3 separate regions of the Mus musculus genome follow, and regions 1 and 3 are each reported to be linked to region 2. The links are microRNA targets in miRTarBase. Many come from high-throughput screens and were not tested one by one. Region 2 holds a microRNA gene; each other region holds the end of a gene's coding sequence.
What was found. Region 2 holds the annotated microRNA mmu-miR-346-5p (UGUCUGCCCGAGUGCCUGCCUCU, at 2,081-2,103, shown strand). A microRNA usually pairs through its seed, bases 2 to 8, with sites in the 3' UTR of a target mRNA and lowers its output. Matches are read on the target gene's strand: a 7mer-m8 pairs with bases 2 to 8, a 7mer-A1 pairs with bases 2 to 7 and ends in A, and an 8mer does both.

Region 1 (3,000 bases), not on the chromosome of region 2:
TGCCAACAGCCAATAGTTGGGCAGAAGAGACATAGACGGCTTGGCAGGTCAGAGGAGAACCATGAGGGGGAGAAGGTGAATGGGGAAGCCTCATGATCCTGAGGGCTGGCCAATTGGAGTTAAGAGCAGCCCAGATGAAACATAGTAATAACTCAGGGTTATCAATAGGAAAGTAGATTCTAATAGCATAGAGGGTAGAGAGATAGCTGCACAGCTCTTGTGCTGTTTAAGGCTTATTGTAAATAATAAAGGTTGTGTGTCTTTTATCCACGAACTGAATGATCAAGGTGGGATAGAAACCCCAAATTGGGATTAAAAAATTCTACAGCAGAAGAGAATACTAGAGGTGGATGAAACCCGGCATATGAATGAACTTCACGCCTGAAGGGCTCCCCAAGAACTGATGGAACACGTGCACTTAGTAGGTACACTGGGGCACTGGGAGAGGACAGTGGGATGTGGATCGTTTCTTTTTGTGGTCCTTTGGTGAACAATAGGTACTCACTGCTAAGAATATCTGATATCTGAAATATTGGAGGCGCAACTGAGGTTAGGGCTAAGAGAGAAATCATGCATGGACCAGCCCTTCTCAACAGCACTGTGGTTTTCCCCATAGAGTTTATAAAGAGGAGTTAATTGGAAACACAACGGGATCTTCACTGATTAAAGTGCCAGAATCACATTTGGAATGGACCCAGGCAAAAAAGGGCCTTAAGAAGCTTACATAGTTCTCATCTCTGCTCTCCATGGACATGATGGAAGTTAGCCACAATAGCTTTCATTTTAAATCACAACCTGGAGCCAGAAGCAACTGGAAAATTCCTGTATGCGGAATGACTTTGTTAGTATGTGGTTAACAGAGGCAGTTCTAACTAACACTGGGGGCTTGGTAGGCACCCAGGTCTTGGCTAAGGAAAGGCTTGGTCTAAGGGGTTCAATCTCTGCTATAACATTACATTTCTTCTCAAAGAACTAGATTCATGTTTTGTGAAGAGTAATTCCAGAAGGAGCAGAATTCTTCCATTAAATATTTTAATGAAATCCTATCTGGCACTGCCCCTAACCAGAGGGCACTCATTATCCATGAAAAAACAGACAAATGGTTACAATCAATTTGCTACACACCTAAACAGAGGTAATTAATTACAAGTCAGTGTTTGCCATCTGCCCCCACCCAGAGCTGAGGGCAGATGCTCCATAGAGAAGCAGATGCAGGAGGTTGACCCAGTTCAGCTGTTGGCAGAAGTCATATTTGATGTACCACGTCGGTACAGCTGCCCAAGGCAAGAAGGTAGTAAAGTTTTACTGAGCACCTAGTCAGGTGGGTGCCATTTTTCCAGCTATTAGTCACCCGTAGCAAACTGAAGTCTACCTCCTGCTGCTTGGTACCAATCACCCCATTTCCTCTTAAACCTTTCAGTGTACTGTGTTGATGCCTCACACCCAGCCTGAACCAACTTTTCAAAAGTGGTGAAGATTTGGTTTTACTACGTCTTGAAGAAGAAAGGTGAGGGTGTGTAGAGGTCTGAAACTGGGGTTGGAGAGATGGCTCCGTGGTTAAGAGCACTGACTGCTCCTCCAGAGGTTCCGAGTTCAATTTCCAGCAACCACATGGTAGCTCATAACCCTCTATAATGAGATCTGGTGCCCTTTTCTGACCATGCAGAACAGGCATGTATACATAATAAAGAAATCATCACCCCAAAGCAGCGTGGCCTGGAGTAGTTAAGATTGGTGTATACAGCACATGGCATGATACTCTTTTTGTTTCTGTATGATCCCTAAGAAGAGACAGATTTCACTTGTGGGAACCAAGAGCCACTCTTCCAAGAATGACCAGGGGCTGGAGAGATGGCTCAGTAGTTAAGGCCACTGTCTGCTCTTCCAGAGGACCTGGGATTCAATTCCCAGCACATGGTGGCTCACAACATTTGTAACTCAGTTCCAGGGGCTCTGATTCTCTCATCTGTCCTCCTTTGGGTACCAGGCCCAATCATGGTGTAGAGATATACATGTAGGCAAAACATTCAAACCCGTAAAATATAAATAAATAGTTAAACTATGCATATACTCCTTAAAAAAAAAAAAAAAAGAACAGTTGACCAGAGCCCAGACTACCAATTACTCAGAAGGCTGAGGTGAATCACACATTCAACCTCTCTCTCTCTCTCTCTCTCTCTCTCTCTCTCTTTCTCTCTCTCTCTGTCTCTCTCTCTCTCTCTCTCTCACACACACACACACACACACACACACACAAACCTGGGCACAAAATAGACTGATTAGGTTTTCTGAAGAGCTACCCTGTGGGTAAAGTATTAAGCTTACCCTAGACTGGGTTTACAAAGGAGAATGCAATAAATAGCCTCCTAAAAATTAGCACCATCCTACAAGGAAACGGCCCGCATGTGAGGTAGAGAGCTCCTTTTCAGCGATGGCCTATCACTTGGCAGGAGTGTTGCAAATATGGAGCCAAACTCAGGCTTTCCCCATGATACAGAAATAGAGGCAGAGCAGGGGAGGTTCTGCCTTCTATAAATGAGTCTCCTGACTGAATATTATCTGTATACACAAACCAAGAAGGCAGCCCCTAAAAGAGGCTGGGAGAAGAACACACCCATATTATTTTAAGACAAGTTAGCTTGGAAAACTTTAATCACATGGCATCATGTCGCCTGGTAACTGTTTCAGACATGCTGTAGGGCACCCAGTGTTCTGGGTTCGGGCTGTGGAGCAGCGGGCCAGGGCTCTGGGTCTGCTCCCATTCTGTAGGACCTCTGGCAGCTACTCCTGAGTTTTGCACCCTTCCATAAAGTGACTTTCTGTCATCTTTGTTATGCTAAAGAGCACTGCTCCTCTGGCTGGGCCCTCCTATAAGAGGTCTAGGGCTACCATTGGGGGTGTTGGGGCAGCACTTGTGGACAGCCAGGGACCACCTCTGGCGGAAGCACCGGCCACACTCAAGGCAGGGGAAAGGCTTTTCCCCAGTGTGCAGAAGCTGGT
Region 2 (3,000 bases):
ATGTGTCAGGGTGGTTCCCGGGCAGTAGAGGCTCAGGTTCTAGCAGGATTTAATCTGACTATAGCCCTTCCCATTGATGGCACAACTTCAGCTCCCCCCAACCTCCCCGTCTGCTTCTTGGAGCTTTCTTTGTCTGAAGTTGGGCTAATGAGACCCAGCTTTAGAGGCCAAGCTAATGAGGCACTAGGTGCATCCCCCCCACACCTTGTGCATTTATTATGCGCTACACATTTGTGGCTGTCTGCTGAGCACTGTCTGGTGGCCGGAATCCATGCCCTAGAAGAGATGCTGCAGATTGGATCCCGAGGCTCTGGGCTGGGTTTGTCAATGTTAGAGACCTGGAATTGGGGATTGGAGCAAGACAGTGTTCCTCTCACCTGTCCCCATCCGAGAAGACTGGTTCCCATGCACACTTGACAGGGAAAATTGGGTCAGATTTGGGTGGAGTATGGGACAAGTGCAGAGCCCCCCCCCCGGGGGGGGGTACTTGGCTGTGAGGAAGTTCTAGGAATCCAGGAAGTGAATTTAGGGGCCTGGTAGAGTGGTTTGGGGTTATTGATATTTCTCTGTGTGCATTTGTATGTGTGTGTGTGTGTGTGTCAGGGATGTCCTATGAGTGTTTTCTAAAGGGTTGCGTGGAGTTAGAGGGCCACTCGTGGGAGTGTGGTAGTGAGGTCATTGTGGCTATGCACTGGGGGCTTTGTGGCAAGCCTCGGAGTTATAGCCAGGGTCACAGGTGTGTTTGGGAGTCAGCTATGGTGGTGTTGAGGGTATAGGATGAATAGCAGAGTAGCTCCAGCCCCAAACTCTGTGGGGACCTATTTCTTTTCTTGCTGCCCCACTGGGAAGCTTGGGACAACTCTGCAAGTGGGTCCCTGGGTAAGAGGAATCTCTGAGGTCTGGGACCAGGAGGTTGAGTGGCAGGGCACAGAATTCAGGAGGCTGAGCAGCGTGAGTGGGGGCAGTGCTGATAGGAGACCAATGGCGTTGCCCATCTGCAGAGGCATTACTTGACGTTTGATGTTGTCACCAGGAAAGTTGCAGAATGAAAATAACTTTTGGGCAAATATGATTATGATGTCCAATCAGGAGCAGCCTTTCATCGCTGGAAACTGCTGACTTCCTCTCCGCTAAAGACAGGTACAGGTGACACTCAGTGGCACTGAAGGAAGACAGACCATTGATCAGTGTCATCGTCATGTGTGGGAGCCCGGTACTCCTGCTTCCTCCTCCATGGACCTGGAAGAGCTGGACTCCACATGGAACCCCTGAATGCTCATGAAAGCTAAAGTGTTGGGGAGATGGCAGGGCTAGGAGTAAAACATGGCGCTCTGGATTCTGACACATCTGAGTTCAAGTTCACCTCGTGCCACTGCACTTAGAAACTGTGAGTCTATGTGGGCAAGCTTCAGTATCCTCACCTTCAGAATGGGAGCTGTCTCTAATTCTTGACTTTTCAATCATGCGACATAGAGCCTGGCACAGATGGTTGGGACAGGTGCAGCTGAAAAGACTGGAATGCCATGTGAGTTAGGATGTGGCTTACTGTCCCAGGGGCTGAGGCCTGACAAGAGTCCCAATGGAGTAAACAAGAGAAAGTGAAAGAGAGAGGGAGAAGGATGGGGTGGCTAGATAACGTCAGGGAGGTGGAGGGGAAAGGAGTGAGGGCAGTTTAAAAGATGGAACAGGGTTTGAGGAGTATCCGTCCAAAGGAAGCTGGGCAAGGCGGCCATTCAGACTGAAGGCCTAGGTCAGGCTGGCTGGGAAGGATTGTTGAGCAGCCTATGGCTGTCCCTAGTGTGTAGCCAAGGCGACATCTTTCTGGTCATGCTACTTTAGTTACTTAACTAGCCAGTAAAAGCAAAAGGCCAGGCAAGTGCAGGTCCCAGGCTTCTGTGAAGGATGGCACTACTGGGAGGATTTCTGAGGGTGGCCAAGAAGCAGCTCTTTCCCCTGCGAGTCTCTGAGTCTCTGCTCAACAGAGTTGGCCTCCTGGAGAGGCTTCCTCATCTGTGATGCCACGGAAGACAGGGCCGAGGTGCTGCGACCAGGCGGTTAGGAGGTCTCTGTGTTGGGCGTCTGTCTGCCCGAGTGCCTGCCTCTCTGTTGCTCTGAAGGAGGCAGGGGCTGGGCCTGCAGCTGCCTGGGCAGAGCTGCTCCTTCGAGGGACACACTGCTGGCTCCTCTCTCTGGTTACAGACTCACGACGTCATGCCTCTGGTCTACAGCACACCTGACCTTCACAGCCAGCATGGGCATCACTATGCCAAGTCAGGGAAGATCCTGGAAGTCTGGCCCTAAGGACAGAGTGGCGAGGGAGTGGACATGACTGAAGATGGGCTCTGAAGAAGTGTAGTGAAGCTTAGGTCAGGTCCACTTCGTCAGATAAAGCTGCATCTGGAGTCCTTCATCCAGGGCTGTGTGGCAGGGTAGAGAGCAGCAGGGACTAAATGTCTCCCAGCTGTGGGGCAGGTTACAGACTCCAGCCCTGGGAGAAAGTGGGACAAGGTGCTAAGGGCACACAGGGAGGGCAGGCTGGGAGTTCTATTAAGTGTCCAGGCGACAGAGATGTTGCAGAGAACTCAAAGATGAAGAAAATGACATTGAAGACCAAGGGGTAAGGTTATACCTGCTCGTGGGGTTGGCCTCCTAGCTCCACAGTGACAAAGCTGCTGGGATGGGGGAAGCCAGCAACCTACAGTCTGCCATGGCTCAGCCTGAGCATGAAGTGGAGAGTTTAGTTAAGGCTCTATATGAGAATGAGCTAAGTGAGCATCCAAGGTCACTGTGAAACAACATCAACACAGAAGCCATGAACCTGCTGGAAGGAAGACAACTGGAATATGTTCCCAGCTCTGCCGTGAACTTGCTGGGTTCTTAGACAAGTCCCCTCCCCTCTCTCATTTTCATCATCTGGATCCTCTGTATAACTGAGAGCTGGGCATTTTCAGTCTGTCTGAATGGCATGCTCCTCTCAATAGAGTGCAGTGGGGTGGGGCA
Region 3 (3,350 bases), not on the chromosome of region 2:
GTCAATATATATATATACACATTTATATATATATATATGTATATATATAGAAAATATATACTCTCACCAGTTTATTCTTCTGTAAGATGTAGCAGAGAATAAACAGGTAATGCTACCTTACTGATGTCAATGAGAGCTGTAGTACCCATTCACAAATGACTTTATTAGGAAGAAACTGCCCAGATATCGAAAATAGTCCTCGAAAATGTGTATGTGCATATTTGAATCTACATATGCAAAGTGAATTTGTGGATGTATTATGCCCTTTCTCTTCTTTAAGATTTCTCTAAACAAAACATGGGGGGGGGGTTATTCTCTAGAAAGTCAGAACAGCATCCTTCATAGGCATGTTTATTTTTGTCTTACATATTCTCATTCCAACAAAAACAAAACAAAACAAAGCGAAGCGATGCTGGCTCTGGACGTTTCCCTGACCTAAGTGCTGTTCCATTGTAAGAAGACTACTGCGCCGTGAACAGAGGACGAACTCCAGCATCCTACAATATATTTCTAAGGCTCCAGCCCTTTCACCATGACCAAGAAAAATGACTAAGTGTAAAGCTTATTTATATAGTGTAGACAATGAGATTGTCACAGTATAAACATGGAGTAAAGTACCTCACTGGCCAGTGGAATTTTTCATAGCAGAATAAGCATACACGTTCTCCTTTCTCTGATGTTGCATAACATACACTCTGGTTACCATATAACATACCCATTAACTATTTACAAATCATCTTGAGAAAAAATAACCATTTAGAATTTTAGGTAATTAAGAAATAATGTCCATTTGTAATATATATAAAAAAAATCTTAGAAACAACTTCAAGTATGTATAACAATTCCAAATAAACTTCTTCCTACTTAACTGCTGAGTACACAGTAAGTTTTTGATAAGTCAGTTGTTAACCTGGCTCAAAACTGAAAAACAAAAAATATTGCCTGGAGGAGGAACTGTGGGCTATAAACAAATGAACTTAAAAACCAACCTGTTTCAAGACTGAAATTCCACGTGGCTCAATTATATATTAAGTTCTTTCAAGACAATGTCAGTATTTACTTTTAATGCCTGTTTAAAATGAATTGATCCGTGAAGTGACTGTGCAGGTCCTGTCATGGATTGATAAGTGCCCTTTGATTTGGTTTCAGGTAATCTGAGTTTGATGTCTTTCTTGGGTTGAATCTGTTAACTCCATAAACACTGCTGTGCAGAGGACAGTTTGACTAGCAGGTAAGGATGTATTCAAGAAGTTTCCCAACCGTCCTGGGATCACCTGAGTTTGCTAAGTGGCCCTGTTATTCCACCCCTAAGGCTAATTAAGTTAATCTTACTAATTAGAGCAAATAAATAATCACAGATTTTCCTGAGATGTTGACCCAGATAGGAAAGTTGTCCCCTCTACCCAATTTTTTTTTTTTGTCATAAAAAGTATTCCGAACCCGATTTCCAAAGATATAATAGTAAGATTGGAACTATGATATTGCAAATTTTGAGTGGATATGTGACTGTATTGGGGGAAAAGTATAGGCATCAGATAGTTACTTTAAAGTCTCATGTTCTGGAAAAGTCCTAAGCCACAGTTTTCAAACATCAGTGTGCGGAAGAAGCACATACAGAACATGTCAGGATACAGGCGGAAGGAGGACGCCCGGGTCCACTTGGAGACGGTGTTCTGTAGACCTGAGATGCTGCCTAGGAGTCTGCATTTAAATAACTGTTCCAGAGACTCATGTGATAGTCAGATGAATGCAGTGTCTCTGTCCAGAATTAAGAAATCCTGGTTGTAAAGTCACGGGTCCCACAGGAGTGGTGAGGATCAACTTTCAAAAGAGACGGTAAAAACCATCCAAAGAAAACCCATTTCTGCTTTTGTTAAAAACGATTTCTAAGTAGTCAATTGTCCAGGAAACAGCCTGAAGGTGAGTGAAGATTTCCTTCTCTAATTTTGAAAAAGGAGGAGTATTAATTTAGTAAAGTAGTCAAAATATAAAAAAATGGAAATCTGCCTTTTATTTTTAAGGATCTATTAAACTCCCCTCTATTGTAATCAATTGTTACTAAATAGTAAAAGGTTTAAAGAAATATATATATTGAAAAGGTCTGGGGTGGGGCAGACTCATTGGGAACCGCAAAACCCCTTCCAAGAGTTAAAAAGAATTTTGTTTAGCAAAAGTGAAAAAATGTAAGCATTGCTTTTTCTTACTTTTAGACTGATGAGGTGTGAATCAGCACAAGGCTTCTGGGTTTTTTTTTTTTTCCTAATTTGGTTATCTTCCAAATAGCTAACAGTTTGGATGTTACAAACACGTTATGTAGGCTGGCTTCTGAGATGGGAAATGAACAACCCTAATAAAGACAGCAAGTTGCATCAATCCACTACTGGTGAAGTTGTGCATTTTAATGTATGCCTCTTATTTACGATTATAAAAACAGGTTCATTCGTAGGCTAGTCACAGTTGTTATCTGATGCATACAGAAATAGTAAACAACCAACCTCGAGTTCAATTGTTTCCTCATGACATCTAATGTTAAGCAAAAATTAGTATGCATATTTAAACATCACCAGTGACCAATACTTTCAAAAGGAAGGAGTTTCAGTTATACCATGCTTTTCTCAAATCATGCTCTTATTTATACAGATCTCAAGTTCATACTGACTAAATTTTAAAAAGACCCAAAGTGGTATGGCAGGTACACATTTATTCTGACTCTTTTTTTATGGTGAGCGCGTTTCCCAGAAGTCCATACACTTCTCCATTTGTACTGTGTGGGCGAGAAGCATTATTTCCCATATGGCTATTGTACGGGCTTCTTAGATTAAAGAAAGAAGCTTTAGTTTCTGCAGCGGGAAGTAGCTCTTCTTTGACTGTAACCTGTGAGAGACTCTCGGCTGACGCAGGCTCCCTCCAGATGTCTTTGTCCTGGGTTTCTTGTGTGGTAACAGAATTGCCCCCTCCCTTCTGGAGCATGTAATAGAGGATCGGATTAGTTTTGGTCAGTCTTGGAGAGTCTTTTTCGTATTCATTCTTATCCATATCTGCGATGACCCACTTAATGGGTCCCTTCTCACCGGGCACGGAACATCCATTCAAAAGCCCAGGTTCTGGTCTGGACCCCACACAGCCCAAGTGCTCTGGGAAAGGAGGGCTCAGAGGGGTCTTTACCATTCCCGGGTATGAAAATGTCCTATGATCCGTCACACAACTGCCAGGCTGCGGGGAACTATACATCAGTCCATTTAAAGAAGAAATGCCGAATTCAGGTTTGCTGCCGGGCGCGTTGTTTTTGTGTCCTTTCTTTTTCGTGTCGGGGACAGAGTCACTCCTGTGTGGGGACAGATCTCGCACAC

Region 1: miRTarBase lists Zfp689 as a target of mmu-miR-346-5p. Seed matches in the 3' UTR shown: 7mer-A1 at 1,874-1,880.
Region 3: the mRNA of Nrip1 is a reported target of mmu-miR-346-5p. The part of its 3' UTR that is shown has no 7-base or 8-base seed match.

What each region holds. Positions count from the first base shown.
Region 1 is chr7:127,441,118-127,444,117 of GRCm38, forward strand. It overlaps Zfp689 (zinc finger protein 689), which reads right to left. Exons shown (of 3, transcript NM_175163.3): 3 at 1,019-3,000. The coding sequence ends at 2,837. Among named protein-coding and RNA genes, the nearest start is that of B130055M24Rik, 5.8 kb to the right of the region's middle.
Region 2 is chr14:34,892,544-34,895,543 of GRCm38, forward strand. It overlaps Mir346 (microRNA 346), which reads left to right and starts at 2,066; the gene lies at 2,066-2,163. The region is part of intron 2 of Grid1 (glutamate receptor, ionotropic, delta 1); the gene reads left to right.
Region 3 is chr16:76,288,482-76,291,831 of GRCm38, forward strand. Nrip1 (nuclear receptor interacting protein 1) reads right to left here. Exons shown (of 4, transcript NM_173440.3): 4 at 1-3,350. The coding sequence ends at 2,701. Among named protein-coding and RNA genes, the nearest start is that of Gm30569, 11 kb to the right of the region's middle.